3 linked regions of the Mus musculus genome follow. The protein of the gene in region 1 purifies or fractionates together with the protein of each later gene. This does not show direct contact. Links are inferred from orthologs where the notes say so. Each region holds a gene or a part of one and is shown in the gene's direction. Other genes may lie near its edges.

Evidence for each region.
Region 2: the proteins of Vdac2 (region 1) and Rab7 purify together in Homo sapiens (affinity purification with mass spectrometry; 3 studies listed by BioGRID and IntAct, with this or other methods). This does not show direct contact. The link is inferred for Mus musculus from reciprocal best matches to the Homo sapiens genes VDAC2 and RAB7A.
Region 3: the proteins of Vdac2 (region 1) and Fam162a fractionate together in Homo sapiens (co-fractionation; 3 studies listed by BioGRID and IntAct, with this or other methods). This does not show direct contact. The link is inferred for Mus musculus from reciprocal best matches to the Homo sapiens genes VDAC2 and FAM162A.

The regions. Positions count from the first base shown.
Region 1 is NC_000080.6:21,830,172-21,834,493, forward strand, and holds the start of Vdac2 (voltage-dependent anion-selective channel protein 2), read left to right. Parts: upstream 1-1,389; 5' UTR 1,390-1,496; intron 1,497-1,679; 5' UTR 1,680-1,704; coding exon 1,705-1,738; intron 1,739-2,712; coding exon 2,713-2,781; intron 2,782-3,629; coding exon 3,630-3,679; intron 3,680-4,322. UniProt on the Homo sapiens protein: Non-selective voltage-gated ion channel that mediates the transport of anions and cations through the mitochondrion outer membrane and plasma membrane.
Region 2 is NC_000072.6:88,042,225-88,046,592, reverse strand, and holds the start of Rab7 (ras-related protein Rab-7a), read left to right. Parts: upstream 1-1,322; 5' UTR 1,323-1,520; intron 1,521-1,575; exon of another isoform or gene 1,576-1,656; intron 1,657-4,368.
Region 3 is NC_000082.6:36,043,322-36,047,841, reverse strand, and holds the end of Fam162a (protein FAM162A), read left to right. Parts: intron 1-1,354; coding exon 1,355-1,463; intron 1,464-3,750; coding exon 3,751-3,843; 3' UTR 3,844-3,998; downstream 3,999-4,520. UniProt on the Homo sapiens protein: Proposed to be involved in regulation of apoptosis; the exact mechanism may differ between cell types/tissues.

The DNA.
Region 1 (4,322 bases):
GTCCACAGGCTAAATTATTTGAGTTTATTGAGCTGAAGTGTCAGTTGTCTCCATTTTAAATCTTCTGTATGGCTGACGTGTGTGTGTGTGTGTGTTTTGAACAGTGTCTACTGCTCTTCACCTTTTACAGAATTTAGAGAACACGGTTTGCAGGCCAGGTTGACAGAGCCCCCGTGACCCTCTTGTTTCTATTTCTGGAACTACTACTGGCTTTTAATGTGGGTGTTGGGTGCTGGGGATCCGAGCTCAGGTCCCCTTGCATGCACAGCAAGATAAGGGTTCTTACTCACTGAGCCTCCGATTCTATCTTTATTATCCTGTTTGCCTCACCCTGTAGTTTAGCCTCAAACTGGTCTCTATTATTATTATTTCAAGACAGGGTTTTTCTGTATTGCCCTTGCTGTCCTGGAACTCTCTCTGTAGACCAGGCTGGCCTCGAATTCAGAAATCCACCTGCCTCTGCCTCCCAAGTGCTGGGATTAAAGGTGTGCACCACCACTATCCAGCGGTCTCTTATCTTTATTAACCTTTTGCCTCACTCTGTAGTTTAGCCTCAATCTGGTGTAATTTCTCTGCCGCCCAGATCTGGGACTACAGGTATAGGCATCAGGACTGGCTGCTCCCTCCCTCTTCTGGCATATCTAAAGAACTTGAGAGCAGCATTCTAATGACTGGTCAGCATGAATCCTACAGTTATTCCCTTGTCTCTCCAGGCCTCTCAACCAGGGGAAGCTTCTCTTCCTAGAGCAGGATGTGCTTCTGCGCGTGTGTGAACCCATACCATATATGGGTGAGACGGAGGCTGCAGGAGCGCAACCCTGAGGCTCCGAGAGAAATGCCCAGAGACTGGCTCAAGTTTGTTCCTTTGGAGCCCAGCCTAGTCCCAGCAGGGGAGGACATGGCGGTGGGCGGTGAACCGAGATGGGAAGAGCATGGAGGCTGCACTTGGGGAGAGTGTTTCATCCCCCTCAACCCGGACCTTAAGTTCAGACCTCCAGGCTGGGACTCAGGGAGGAGGCTGAGAGGGTGCACGTGACCCTGCGGGGCACATCGCCCCGCCCCGTCGCGACTCGCGTGGCCACTCCCATCCTGACCGCGCGGGTGCCGTTGCGCCGCCTCCGCCGTTCCCAGGTCCTCGCCTCTGGGGCTGTCCTGGACATTGCCTAACCCGAGGCCCCGCAGCTCCTGCTCGCCCCGTCCCCGCCGGACGGTCCGAGACCGCTCACCCAAGGAGACCGCCGTGCTCTCGACCCACGTGGTCACTCCGGAGCAGGTGGGAGTGGGCAGCGGGCGGAGCGGCAAGGACAGGCGCGGTAGACAGCCCGGGCGGCCGCGGCGGGGACCTGGCTGGGGGAGGCCAGGCTTGCGGCGGGGCGCAACGGTGTCTCCTTCACTTCGCCCTCCAGCCGCGGTGGCTGCAGCGCAACTTTCAGATAGCGGAGTGGCCTCAGCTGCGAGCCGAGCGGTGGCGGCAGCGCCCCTCAGGACACCCGCAGGTACTATGGTGCCCGCCTCTTGCCGACTCTGGGGCCTTAGGGCGGGCCGGCAGCCTGAGTGAACTCAGGGCGGCCCTGGTCCCCTAAGATGGCCGCAGCGGCCCCGGCCCCTTTCTCTAATGTCCGAGCTCCCCAGGGGACCCTTTGACTGTCCCCTGACCGCACTTCTTGTCCCTTTCACAGATCACCTTTTCCCCGCGACTTCGCCATGGCTGAGTGCTGTGTACCGGTATGCCCACGGCGTAAGTAGCACAAGAGGTGTTTGCGCGATGGGGCCATGGGGGCTGTGCTGTTCCTCTTTAGAGAACCATACCTTGTTCCGCCGTGGCCCACATGATGCCTGCAAAGACTTGGAAAGTTTGCTTCTTTGCGCGCCCCCTAAGTCTTACACTGCCACTCTGTTGACGGACGTGGTGCTGGGCTGTTGGGTTGCAGATAGGGGGGCTCGCGCCTGGGGCGTTGGTCCTTGGCCGCACCCACCCTTGGCTTTTGGATATGTTACTTACAAATCCGAAAGCAAAACACTTAGTTGTTGAATTCCATCTTGGGGTTCGGGGGGGGGGGGCGGAGAGTTAGAGCAGTCACTTTGCAAGAGGAAGTAGTTCGCTGTCTGCCTGCACAGGTCGAGTGCACTACAAGGTCATTACACGTGTTCCTAAGGGCGTGGATGTGCACTGGAGAATGAATGAGCTGCTCCTGGAGCTCGGATTCCTTGCCCTTAAGCCTCACGTTGTCGGAGGACTTGGGGGACCGTAGTAATGTGTTTAAAGTGCCATTTGATATTTAGTTGCTGTAGACATAGATGGTTGTATTTTTTGCCCGTGTCTCAATTGTGCCAGTTCCCAGAGTGTTGGTTTTGATTTTGGAAGTCCTTCCCAAAGGTTTGTTAGGGGAGAACGCCTAAGCTTAAATTTTGGTTTTTATCTCCGTTAAATCAGTCACCTTGAGTTTTGGCAACTGTGTAGGCAGTAGACACTTATGTTTAGGAATTAGAAAGGCTTCCCCCATTCTTAAAACTTGGTAGAAATGTCCCAGGTTTGTATTACCACATAGCTATTTAGAAATAAGTTTTTGTTATGGGTGGCTACTTTAGAATAACATTTATTGAAGTTCTAGTGGCATCAAAACCCACTCCGGTTGAACTGCTTGAATGTAAATGTTAGCAGTAGGTCCTAGTAGTAGCTCACATTAACTGTAGAATGTTTCTTTTGACTAGCGATGTGTATCCCTCCACCCTATGCTGACCTCGGCAAAGCTGCCAGAGACATTTTCAACAAAGGATTTGGTAAGGACTTTTTTCCCTTTTAAACATAAAAGAGAAAAATATATGCTTGGACCTCTTGAAAAAAGTTAATTGCTTTGCTTTTCTAGACTGAATACCCTGCTGCACTCATGCCTCTGCCAGCTGCATGTGTACCCCACTTTCTTAGCCTTTCTTCGGTCACAATTGAAAAGCTTGTTCTTTTTATTTTGTTGTTGTTTTTTGGTTTTGTTTCAAGACAGGCTTTCTCTCTGTAGTCCTGGCTGTCCTGGAACTCACTCTGTAGACCAGGCTGGCCTTGAACTCTCAGATCTACCTGCCTCTGCCTCCCAAGTGATGGGAGGCGAGTACCACCCCACTCCCCACCCCCTAGGGAGAGGGGAAAGCCTGTACTTTATTCTTTTAAGTGACAGTTCAGACCATGGTTGGATAGAGCTGCCTAGAATTACTGTTTTATTTTTGTGGTTATGACTCTGGGTAGGTGGAAACCTTAGAGTTTTGAGTCAATTTTTGTGCTTTCTTGAAAATTGATTGTTTTGCACATACCACTACCCCTTGCTCTTTGGTGATACCCTTTTGGGATAAAAGTCCTAAGTGTGTTGCCATAAACAGTAGGCCAGTCTGAGGAACTGATTTTTAATCTAACGTTTAAAAATGGCTTGAAAAGGGTGCGGCAGGAAGTGGAGCCAGTTATAGGACACTAGGCAGCGCTACTGTCACCTTAGCAGAGCTGACTGCTTGTAAATGTTCCTTCATGTGCTGTGCATTTGTCCATTTCTGTCCCGGACTTTGGGATTATGTTCACAGTACTTTGAGTGTGGGTATACGTCTTTTCTGCAGAAGAATCATATCTTTGCCCTCTCTTTTTGAAGGCTTTGGGCTGGTGAAGCTGGATGTGAAGACGAAGTCATGCAGCGGTGTGGTAAGTTATTGATTCGTTTTCACGAAGCTGTTAATTTCATAGCCCATAAATATCTACAGCTCTTTTCCCTTAAGGAGGCAGAAGCTAATTTGTTTTGAATGATTTATGTGTAGTCTGATTTATTGGCTTTGTATGTGATTTCTGCATTTCACATGGTTTTGTTATATTCCTTTATTATGTATGTTTTACCATGATTGCATGGAGAAGTTGGGAAAGCCATTGCTTATTTGGGACTGTCTACTCAGGTAGATGACAAGCATGAAGGCCGTGACTCCTGTAACCCTTTCTCTTAGTACCTGTCAGAGTTCTGGGCTCTGAGTAGTAACTTGGTTATTTGACTACAATGACCATTTAGTATAGTGGCTACATTCTAACAGCCATCCATGGAGATGTCTGCCTGTTTATCCTGACTGGAATGTCTCTACAGAATTTGCTATTTTCATATGTGTTGATCCTTCCCGACTGTTGTTAAAGAAGGGAGAAAGTAAAGCACTGTTCTCCTTCTTCTCTAGAAGTTTTTATTGTGAGATTGGAGATGGGTGTTTAATGTTCATGCTAAACTATGATTGCTCGGTACTGTGTGCATGCTGCTCTGCATGTAACTGGTATCTATTAAGTTGTTTGTGGTGCTGTTTCTTGATGC
Region 2 (4,368 bases), on another chromosome or scaffold:
CATGCAGCTTTGCTTCCAAACTGCTGGTCTATCTGCCATGTGGAGGCTGATGCTATATCCAACATGAGGTAGAGAGACAGGGCCTGAACCAGCTTCCTGCATCCCTACAACTGTGGAAAGTCTGACTGGACCACCAGATTCATATGGGTCCTACTATCCGGTCAAATTTTAATAGATAACCCAGATAACTAGTTGCTGAAATTTGTACCCAGCAAGTATGTGTTTTTTTTTTCCCCAACAAGAACCAAGAACTGTCACATATACATCTTTGCACCCTACTTTGTCACTTCATATTTCTTGAAGATTTCACTTTGCATATGAATATACATAGACTTCCTTTGTTCATATCTTAGTTTCAAAGTATTCAGTCAAATGGCCAAGTAATAATTAACTAATGATTGAAACTGAGCAAACTCCTGTGTGTGTGTCTATTATATCAAATGGTGAGGATCTTGGCAGAAAGGTCTTGTTTTCCCCTATTCCTTAGGACCTACAAACCTTCTCTATTCCTTATATGCTAGAACATGTACTAGTGTTGTGGGGTATTCACCAGAAAAGACTACTCAGATATGGGTTTAAGCTAAGAAATGGCAGCTGGTTACTGCACTGGGTGTTCAATACCCCAGGACAACCTGAGTCTTTCTCAGGGTGAGCTTTTAAGCACACAAAAAAACATGTTCTGGGTTGACATACTTCAGTTAACAAGAACTGTCAGCCATAAACAGAACTACAGAAGCTAAAAAGCAAGGTTAGTACATTTTGAGACTTCCCCAGAAAGATATGGACTTTGATGGATTAGGCCTTTGTTTTAGTTTTGGTGGGCGTGACACTAAAATCAGCCTCATGTCTCTTCAGTTCAGCAACTCCTTAGCTCTCTTTCCATTTTCCTGAACCATCTGCCCTGCACAGGTAGCTCCTATTTCATCACTGGGTCTCCAACACTGGGGACACTGTAACTGATCATTTCCATCCACATTAGAGATTGTACCCAGTGGACTCAGAAGACCCTAGACTATACCCTGCCTGATACATGGCTGACTGACTAGCGTGTTCCAGAGGGGGACACTCTGGAAAGACCAAGTGACTCTCCCTCCTTTAGCTCTGTTTATAGGAGCGGGGTGGGATGAGGGGGGGGGACACCACTGCATTATCAGTTCTTGGCCCAATATGGTGCGCTCCAGCTTCTGCACAGCCTTCAAAGATGGCAGCCCCCATCTAGAAACGGCCATATTTAAGCCCCAGATGCCAGGCTAGGGCCTGACGCGACCGGAACGTGACGCAAGGTGGAGGTGGGGCTCCTCCCTCCAACCCTGGCGTCGGGCGTCTCGTGACAGACACTTCCGCTCGGGGCGGCGGCGGTGGCGGAAGTGGAAGCAAGGCCGGAGCTTTGACCATAAAGCCCAAGGCGGCGGCGTTGGCGGCGGTGTTTGGGGCCGGGCAGCTCCGAGGAGCCTGCTGGAGCCGGAATCGGACGTCTCTGTTGCGGCCTGCGTTGTGTCTCCTCCTCCGTTGACCCTGCGGTGAGCAGCGGGCCCCGGCCGCCCTTCCCCCGCCGCCGCTTGGGCCTCCGGGCCTGGCGTCCTCGGCGAGCCGAGCGCCGAGCTGGGCCGGGCCAGGCGGGGCGGCGCCCGGCGGGCGGAGGGCGATCGGCGATCGGTGGGTGGCGGGTACGGGATCCTCGGGCTGGGCGCGTCCCCACCGGCAACCTGCTGGGTGGGAAGAGCTACCGGCCGGCCGGCCACCGAGGCAGTGCTGCCAGGCGCGTCACATGCCCCGGCCCGCCGCCGGCACTGGGAGACAGGAGCTTTCAGGGTCCTGCAGGGTAAATCCCGTTTCCGAAGTTCCGGGAAGAAGGACCTCCCGAGTGCCTTTCAAATGGCCTGATGTCCTCCTGGCTCATAATCGTGCCGATGTTGAGAGTAAGGTTGTGAAGATTTGAGATTTCTCGGCTGCTGGGCTGCGTGGCAAGACCGCACAAATTGCCCTGTTCTCCCAACAGCCCCTCCGAAGCACCGAGGCAGTGCCTACTTACAGAGAAAGCGAAGAACAGAGAGGCTAAGGCACTCGACCAAGGTCACACCGCTGATAAATTTCAGAGTGAGAGGTTGAAACATAGGCAGCTAGACTACTTAGCACTTACTGGCCTCTGGCCTCTTGTACTTTAGATGCCCCCAAAGCCTGCCACCTGTTATCTGCCATCAGCACCCCCCTCCACCTCCTGTCTAGTGATGTCATTTGAGAGCCTCTTAGTCCTACCTTAAAGCCATGTTGTATTTGTACTTGTGACTTACAAGGCATATTACAAGGCATATAAGGTAGTGTAGTGTCATCAAACCAGAAGATCTTGAATTCTGGCAAGGTATGTATTGGATTTGAATAGGTTTCTTAGCCAGCTCTTTTCCTTGAGTCAGGTCTGGCATGCCTACTGTGTGCACCTTTCTACAAGAATTTCTACAACAACCTAACCTGTTGACTCTTCACCGTTGAAAATCTTGTGTTTTTGGTTTTCCAAAGAATAAACTCTTGTCTCTTTCTTGTGACTTCAGCAACTGATACCCACATGATTGAGTTAATAAAATCTCTTGTTGGCATATTTCTCTTCGATCTTGGTAATATTGGATCAGAATTGAGTGTAAGAACTGGAAAGTGAATTATAACTACTTCTGAAGCTGGCCAGACTAAAGTTTGGTGTCCTTGGTTGTCAATAGTTTAGTTTGCTACCCGGCCTGGTATACTTACGGGCTGTAAACCTATGTAATGAGTTTAGAAGAGGAATCGCTAAACGTGATTCCCTTTTTGTTGTATGATATTTTTGTCCTCCCTCGAGGGGAATTAGATGCCACTTCGTCCAGTGCACTGTCATGTGTGAGCAGAGGCTGGAGAAGACAAGTGGCTGGCACCTTCATTTGGGAGATGTTTTTCTTCCACATGTGTGTCAGGCATTACTGGGTCCTGACTCAGGGAAGAAGGCATGGCTGGGTTGTGTCCTCAGAGAATTGTAAAATGATGAGTCTCAGAGCCAGGAGCTGTTTAGGAAGGAATGACTCGGATGTAGAAAGAATCGGAGGCTTCTGCAAAAAGTAGTTTTTATTTTATTTTATTCCCTCAGGTGAATCAGATATCCAGATGTGTATTGTTCTGGCTAACTACTTGAAATATTTGCCAACTCTTTGTGTGTTGTGTATGCATGCACATGTGCATCTGTGTGGGCCTGAGGTGGGTATTGGGTGTCTTACTTTACTGCTCGCCTTTTTAATTTTTAATTATTTACTTTTTGAAGACAGGGTCTCTTCCCTGACCCTGGAGCCTATCCACTGCTAGCAGGCTAGCCAGTGAGTGCACGCATGCGCACACGTGCACACACGCATGCACACACGTGCACACACGCATGCACGTGCCCGAGGGTGTTGCAGATGCCTCTGAACCTACCCTTTTTCTTTTTCCTTCATTTTTGGGTTGTTTGTTTGTTTGTTTGTTTGTTTTTTTGGTTTTTCTAGACAGGGTTTCTCTGTGTAGTCCTGGCTGTCCTGGAACTCACTCTGTAGACCAGGCTGGCCTCGAACTCAGAAATCTGCCTGCCTCTCCTTTTCTTTTTCTTGATTTAAATGTGGGTCCTGGGATCTGTACTCAGGTCCTTACACTTGTCTGTCCGACAACTGAGCCAACCTCAGCCCCCATCTCTGTCAGCATTAGGTTTGCTCCTGTAAGAGAGGGCCATAGTCTGGTGATAGTCTGATCACCTCTTTTAAAGAGTAACCACCAGCACTAAACGTGATTCCCTTTTTGTTGTATGATATTTTTTGCCCTCTCTCAAAGGGAATTAGATGCCACTTCGTCCAGTGCACTGTCATGTGGGAGCAGAGGATGGGTTTTCCTTTTTAGCTGACAAGAAAGCTTACTGTCGCTCTGCTAGACTTAGTGATGCATGCTGGAGAAGCCCTGTGTCCTCTGCTTGCCATGGCTCTCTGGTTCCCTCCATTCAGGGGCCCAGGTTTTACACTGAAGGTAGAACCTCAGGAGTAAAGGAAGGAGGGTGGAACTGGCATGCGCTCTAAAAATAGCTTTATTAGTGAAGTCTTCCAGGTGACTGCTGACAACCACATGGTGACTTTCCTGGTTGCCTTCTTTTTTTTTTTTGGTGTCAGTTGTGGTTCATATTCAGAGATCCTAACCCTGTAAGAGCTGTCCTTGTACGAAAGGAGTTGTGAATCAGTTTCTGGCTCCACCACCAAATGAGGCAAGGAAGTTTGAGCATTGGCTATGCTGTTACTCTGTCTTCAGAGAGGTCTGCACTAGTAATACTTTTACATTTGTCAGTAACTTTCTATGAAAATGTGGTGTGAACCCAGATTCAAAGGTTCAGTCGTC
Region 3 (4,520 bases), on another chromosome or scaffold:
AAAGCATGTGGCTTTGAGACCTCATAGCCCGTCCTCAGCTTCATACTTCTCCCAACAAGACTACGCCTCTTAATCCTCCCCAAACAGTGCCACCTATTGGAGACAAAGCCCTGAGTAAAGGACAGAAAGAATGCTAGTTCTGTGTTGTTGCCCAGGAGCAGACATGACAAGGTTCTAGTCTGAGACCAGGGCCTCAAAGGACTTAACGTTTAGGTTCCTGGGAACCTGCCTTTCCCCTGGAGAAATTGGAATTGTCTGTGTGTGACACACTTGAGATAGCCTGGGATCCTTTCGAGAAGCATTGTATGGCAGCTTTCTGCTGACTCTGTCCCATCCTCCTCGAAGACTCTATAAGATTGTGTACTTCTGTCGGGCAGTGGTGGCGCACGCCTTTAATCCCAGCACTTGGGAGGCAGAGGCAGGTGGATGTCTGAGTTCGAGGCCAGCCTGGTCTACAGAGTGAGTTCCAGGACAGCCAGGGCTTCACAGAGAAACCCTGTCTCAAAAAAAACAAACAAACAAACAAACAAATTGTGTTCTTCTTAATAAACTTGCTTGGCATAAGCTATCAGCTTATGCACGGCCTCCTGGTCCTGACTTCCCATCTTCTTTATTTCCTCATCCTCAACTCTTCCCCTTAGGAACCTGTCACTGAAGAACAGCCTCCTGGTCCAAGTCAACCAAGGATTTATTTGCTCTAGACTGTGGGATGACAGTCTCATTCAAATCACCACACCTGTTAAAAATGTTTTTGTGGCTGGTGGGATCTCCAATGATTTTAGTTAAGCAGTTAAGTAAGCATTCACTGTCTTTAGAATTTGTCCCTGGTTCCTTCCATCCTGCAGGGTCAGTTTCAGAGCCTGGAGAGCTCCATGCACAATTCTGCCTCCCAGGTTCCAGCTCTTATGTCTCATTGTGTGTGCTCAGGGTCCTTCTCCCACCTGGAGACAGTCAGGACTACACAGAGAAACCCTGTCTTAACCCTCCGCTCCCCCAAAAAGTGAAAATGTGGAGTACAAAAAGTATATTAACTCCTCCACGTTTGTTTTCTTTCTGAACTGTGTCTTTGTGAGTTTACTTTAGCTCATAGCAGAGCTTTTGAGAGAAGAATGAGTTCAAGGCCAGCCTGGGCTATAAAGCAAGAAAGACCCTGTCTCCAAGAACAACCAAAAAGATTAGTCTTGAACTTGGTCAACCCTCTCCAAGGTGCTATGAGGTCCCTAGGTCCTAGCTTCTTTTTTCTATTCACAGACATCACTGTCTGTGAATAGAAAACGTTGCGATGCACAGTGTTTGATCCTGCTACAAGTTGAGAAAGAGAAGGGTTAATACGGCTTTCTCGTTCTGTTGCTAGATTTGAGATGCTTGATGCTGCGAAGAACAAGCTCCGGGTGAAGGTCAGCTATCTAATGATTGCCCTGACCGTGGCAGGATGCATCTATATGGTTATTGAGGGCAAGAAGGTGAGAGTGGGCTCCTCTCGGCCTCACCATGCTTTCCCCAAAGATGGAGGAACGTGGTGCCTGGCTCACACCTTAGCTCTGTGAAGGGGAACACGTCGTGTGAATTTACTGGCTCGCAGAATACTCTGTATTAGTGTACTGACTGAGTGCTCAGTGCACTCCAGGCCCTTCTGAGTGGTGTCCTCATGTGCCCCTCACAACTGCTTTGCTAGACAGATGCTACCATGAGAGGAGGAAAGTGTAGCTTCGGATGCTTTAGCAGCAGGCTGGAGAAGGAGAGCTCAGCGGCAGAGGCCTGATGACATGAGTTCAGTCTCTTCGTCCCAATAGCTGGTAGGAGAGACCCAACTCCTAAGACTCACCCTGGATGTTCCACATGCACTCTGGAGCACATGTGTGTTTGCACACACACAATAAATAATAGCGTTTTAAAGTAAGTATTGGCATATACTTGCCCAAAGCCATGCATTTCCCTAATGACAGAATTGGAACCTAGACATAATTGAGGTAAAGCTAAAATTGCTCCTCAGTACAGAATGTGTGCTCTACAGCAGCAACTGTTAAGCTCACTGGATGTGAGAACCTGAGAGCGCTTTCTCTCAGCAGGCTTTGTAATGAAGGAACCTGAAGCTCACATGCACCATACACTTTCCAGAACTCACATAGTAAATGGAGACAAAAACTTGAAATTAAAAAAAAAAAAAATTCAAGCTGGGCGGTGGTGGTACACGCCTTTAATCCCAGCACTTGGGAGGCAGAAACAGGCGGATTTCTGAGTTTGAGGCCAGCCTGGTCTACAGAGTGAGTTCCAGGACAGCCAGGGCTCTACAGACAAAACAAAAATAATCAAAAGAAAAACTTTAGATCTAATTTTGCATGTACCAAATATCCTATTAAACCATCTTGTTATTAAGATATAGTTACTCTGGAGGCTGGAGAAATGGCTCAGTGGTTAGGGCCTCTTGCTGCCCTTGTAGAGAATACCCAGGTTCGGTTCCCCAGCACCCACATGGCAGCTTACAACCATCTGTAACTCCAGTTCCTGGGAACCTGGCACCCTTTTCTGGCCTTCACAGATACCATGCACATATGTGTACATGTACATACATACAGGTAAATATCTATACACACAAAATAAAAATAAGTAAAATGTAGTGTGTGTGCGCCTGCTTTTAAACTCAGACACACACTTTGAAAATCATGTCTAGTTCTGTGTTACAGCTTTCACACAGAGAAACTGTTAGTCCATATTTAAAAGCTACCTCTGAAGAAGCACTTGTCAACTGATCTTCTCCTGAGCAACTCCAGAGTAAAAAGGAAGGGAACTGGGGACTCTGCGGTGACACTGCGGTCACATAAACGCACTAGCCATTTCAGTCTGGCCTCATAGGGGCACAAAGGGCCACGGGGGCTGACCTGGGAGAAGTTCTCTTGAAAGTGAGCCTGTTCTACTTCACTTTTCCCATCTCCTCGTGTGACCTCTGACCTCCCATTCATGGTTCTCAGACTGAAAGCTTTAGAAGCCTGTGCACGGGCACGTGGGTTTCTAGAAGTGTGAGAGATGGCTGGCTGACGTTCAAGATCTCCAGGAGTGAATCCCCCTAGGACGTCCTCCAGCACCTTCCAGGCTGTGCTAGGAGGAGAAGCTTTTGCGCTAACGTCATTTAGGAGAGGAGTTAGTTACCATCATGCTTTGTCTTACCGCTGACATTTGTTTCCCATCCATTTTCTCCTCCCACCAAACTCTTCACATGTGCAGTAACATGGATGTCAGAAAATCCACATACTTGACATAAACATTGGTCTGATTATAGAAGCTTCATACAACTTTAACAGTTCCCATTGAGGGAAGCCAAAGAAATGGCAGGGGCTCCCCTGCTGCCAGTTGCTTTGAAGGGGTGGAGTTCTGGGATAGATAATTCTAGAAGTCATCAGGGATTCCCAAAGCTGCATGTTTTGTTAAAAGAAAAGGCTAGAAAGACAGGAAAGTGTACACGAGTTAGGGAAGCAGAAAGGAGAAAAGTGGAGGTGAAGTGCTGTATATTGTAGAATAGGGAAGGGTGTGAAGAAGACATGGGATTGTAGAGAGGCCGCACATGCAGAGAAGGGGGAGCTGTGTATTTCTCTCCCGGGAGGGGGTGGAAGGTGTGTAGAGAGCATGACTGTCCAGTGTCCAGGCAGCTGACCACTCCTGGCCTGTGCTGCACAGCTAGCCTACTGCTCTCAGCACAAGGGGAGAACAGCCTTCCAGACCTGCCATCATCTCTCCAAATGTATTTCCTTTTAGGCTGCGAAAAGACATGAGTCTTTAACAAGCTTGAACCTGGAAAGGAAAGCCCGTCTGAGAGAGGAGGCAGCTATGAAGGCCAAAACAGACTAGAAGTATTTGGAAAACCCAGGAGTAAGGCTGCAACAAGAAACCTGCTTTACAAAGGATACAATCTGAGACTCACTTTGCAGACATGTATTTTGCACAGATGTATTCCACTTCCCTATTAATGCTGTAGAGGAACAAATACATTTTCTTAAAGAATGACTTGTCTTTGTTTTGTTGCTTTCATCCAAGTAAAACCTAGCCTCCCCACTGTGCAAAGTGGAAAAGAGGCAAATAATTCCAAGTTTATAGTATTATCTCTTCTTGGGAGTATCAGGTTCATTAGCTAGCTTCTTCTCACCTACCAAAGGTGAGACATGAGTCCTATAGGTCTCTCTTATGTATACCATGCCTGACAGGATAAGAAGCCAGGGTGTCTTTGTGAAGGCTGGCTCCCCATGCACTGAATGGTCTGGCATGGCAGTAGGCAGAGGCATTTTGAAGAGCCTTTGAGAATGCCCTGGCATGAGAGTAGTCTGGCCATGAGTTTTGAGTTATTCATCCTGGACTTTCTGGGGGACAACTGCTACCTCCTAGTTCATGGCTTGGCTCCCAATCAGTCCCTTTCCTACCCTCAGGGTATTACATTTTGTACTTAGGAAAACGCCATGCCTGTACTTCTAAGTGTTGGAAAGTAACCACTTAGATCAGTACATCTCCATTAGCTTGTCCTTAGGCTAGCA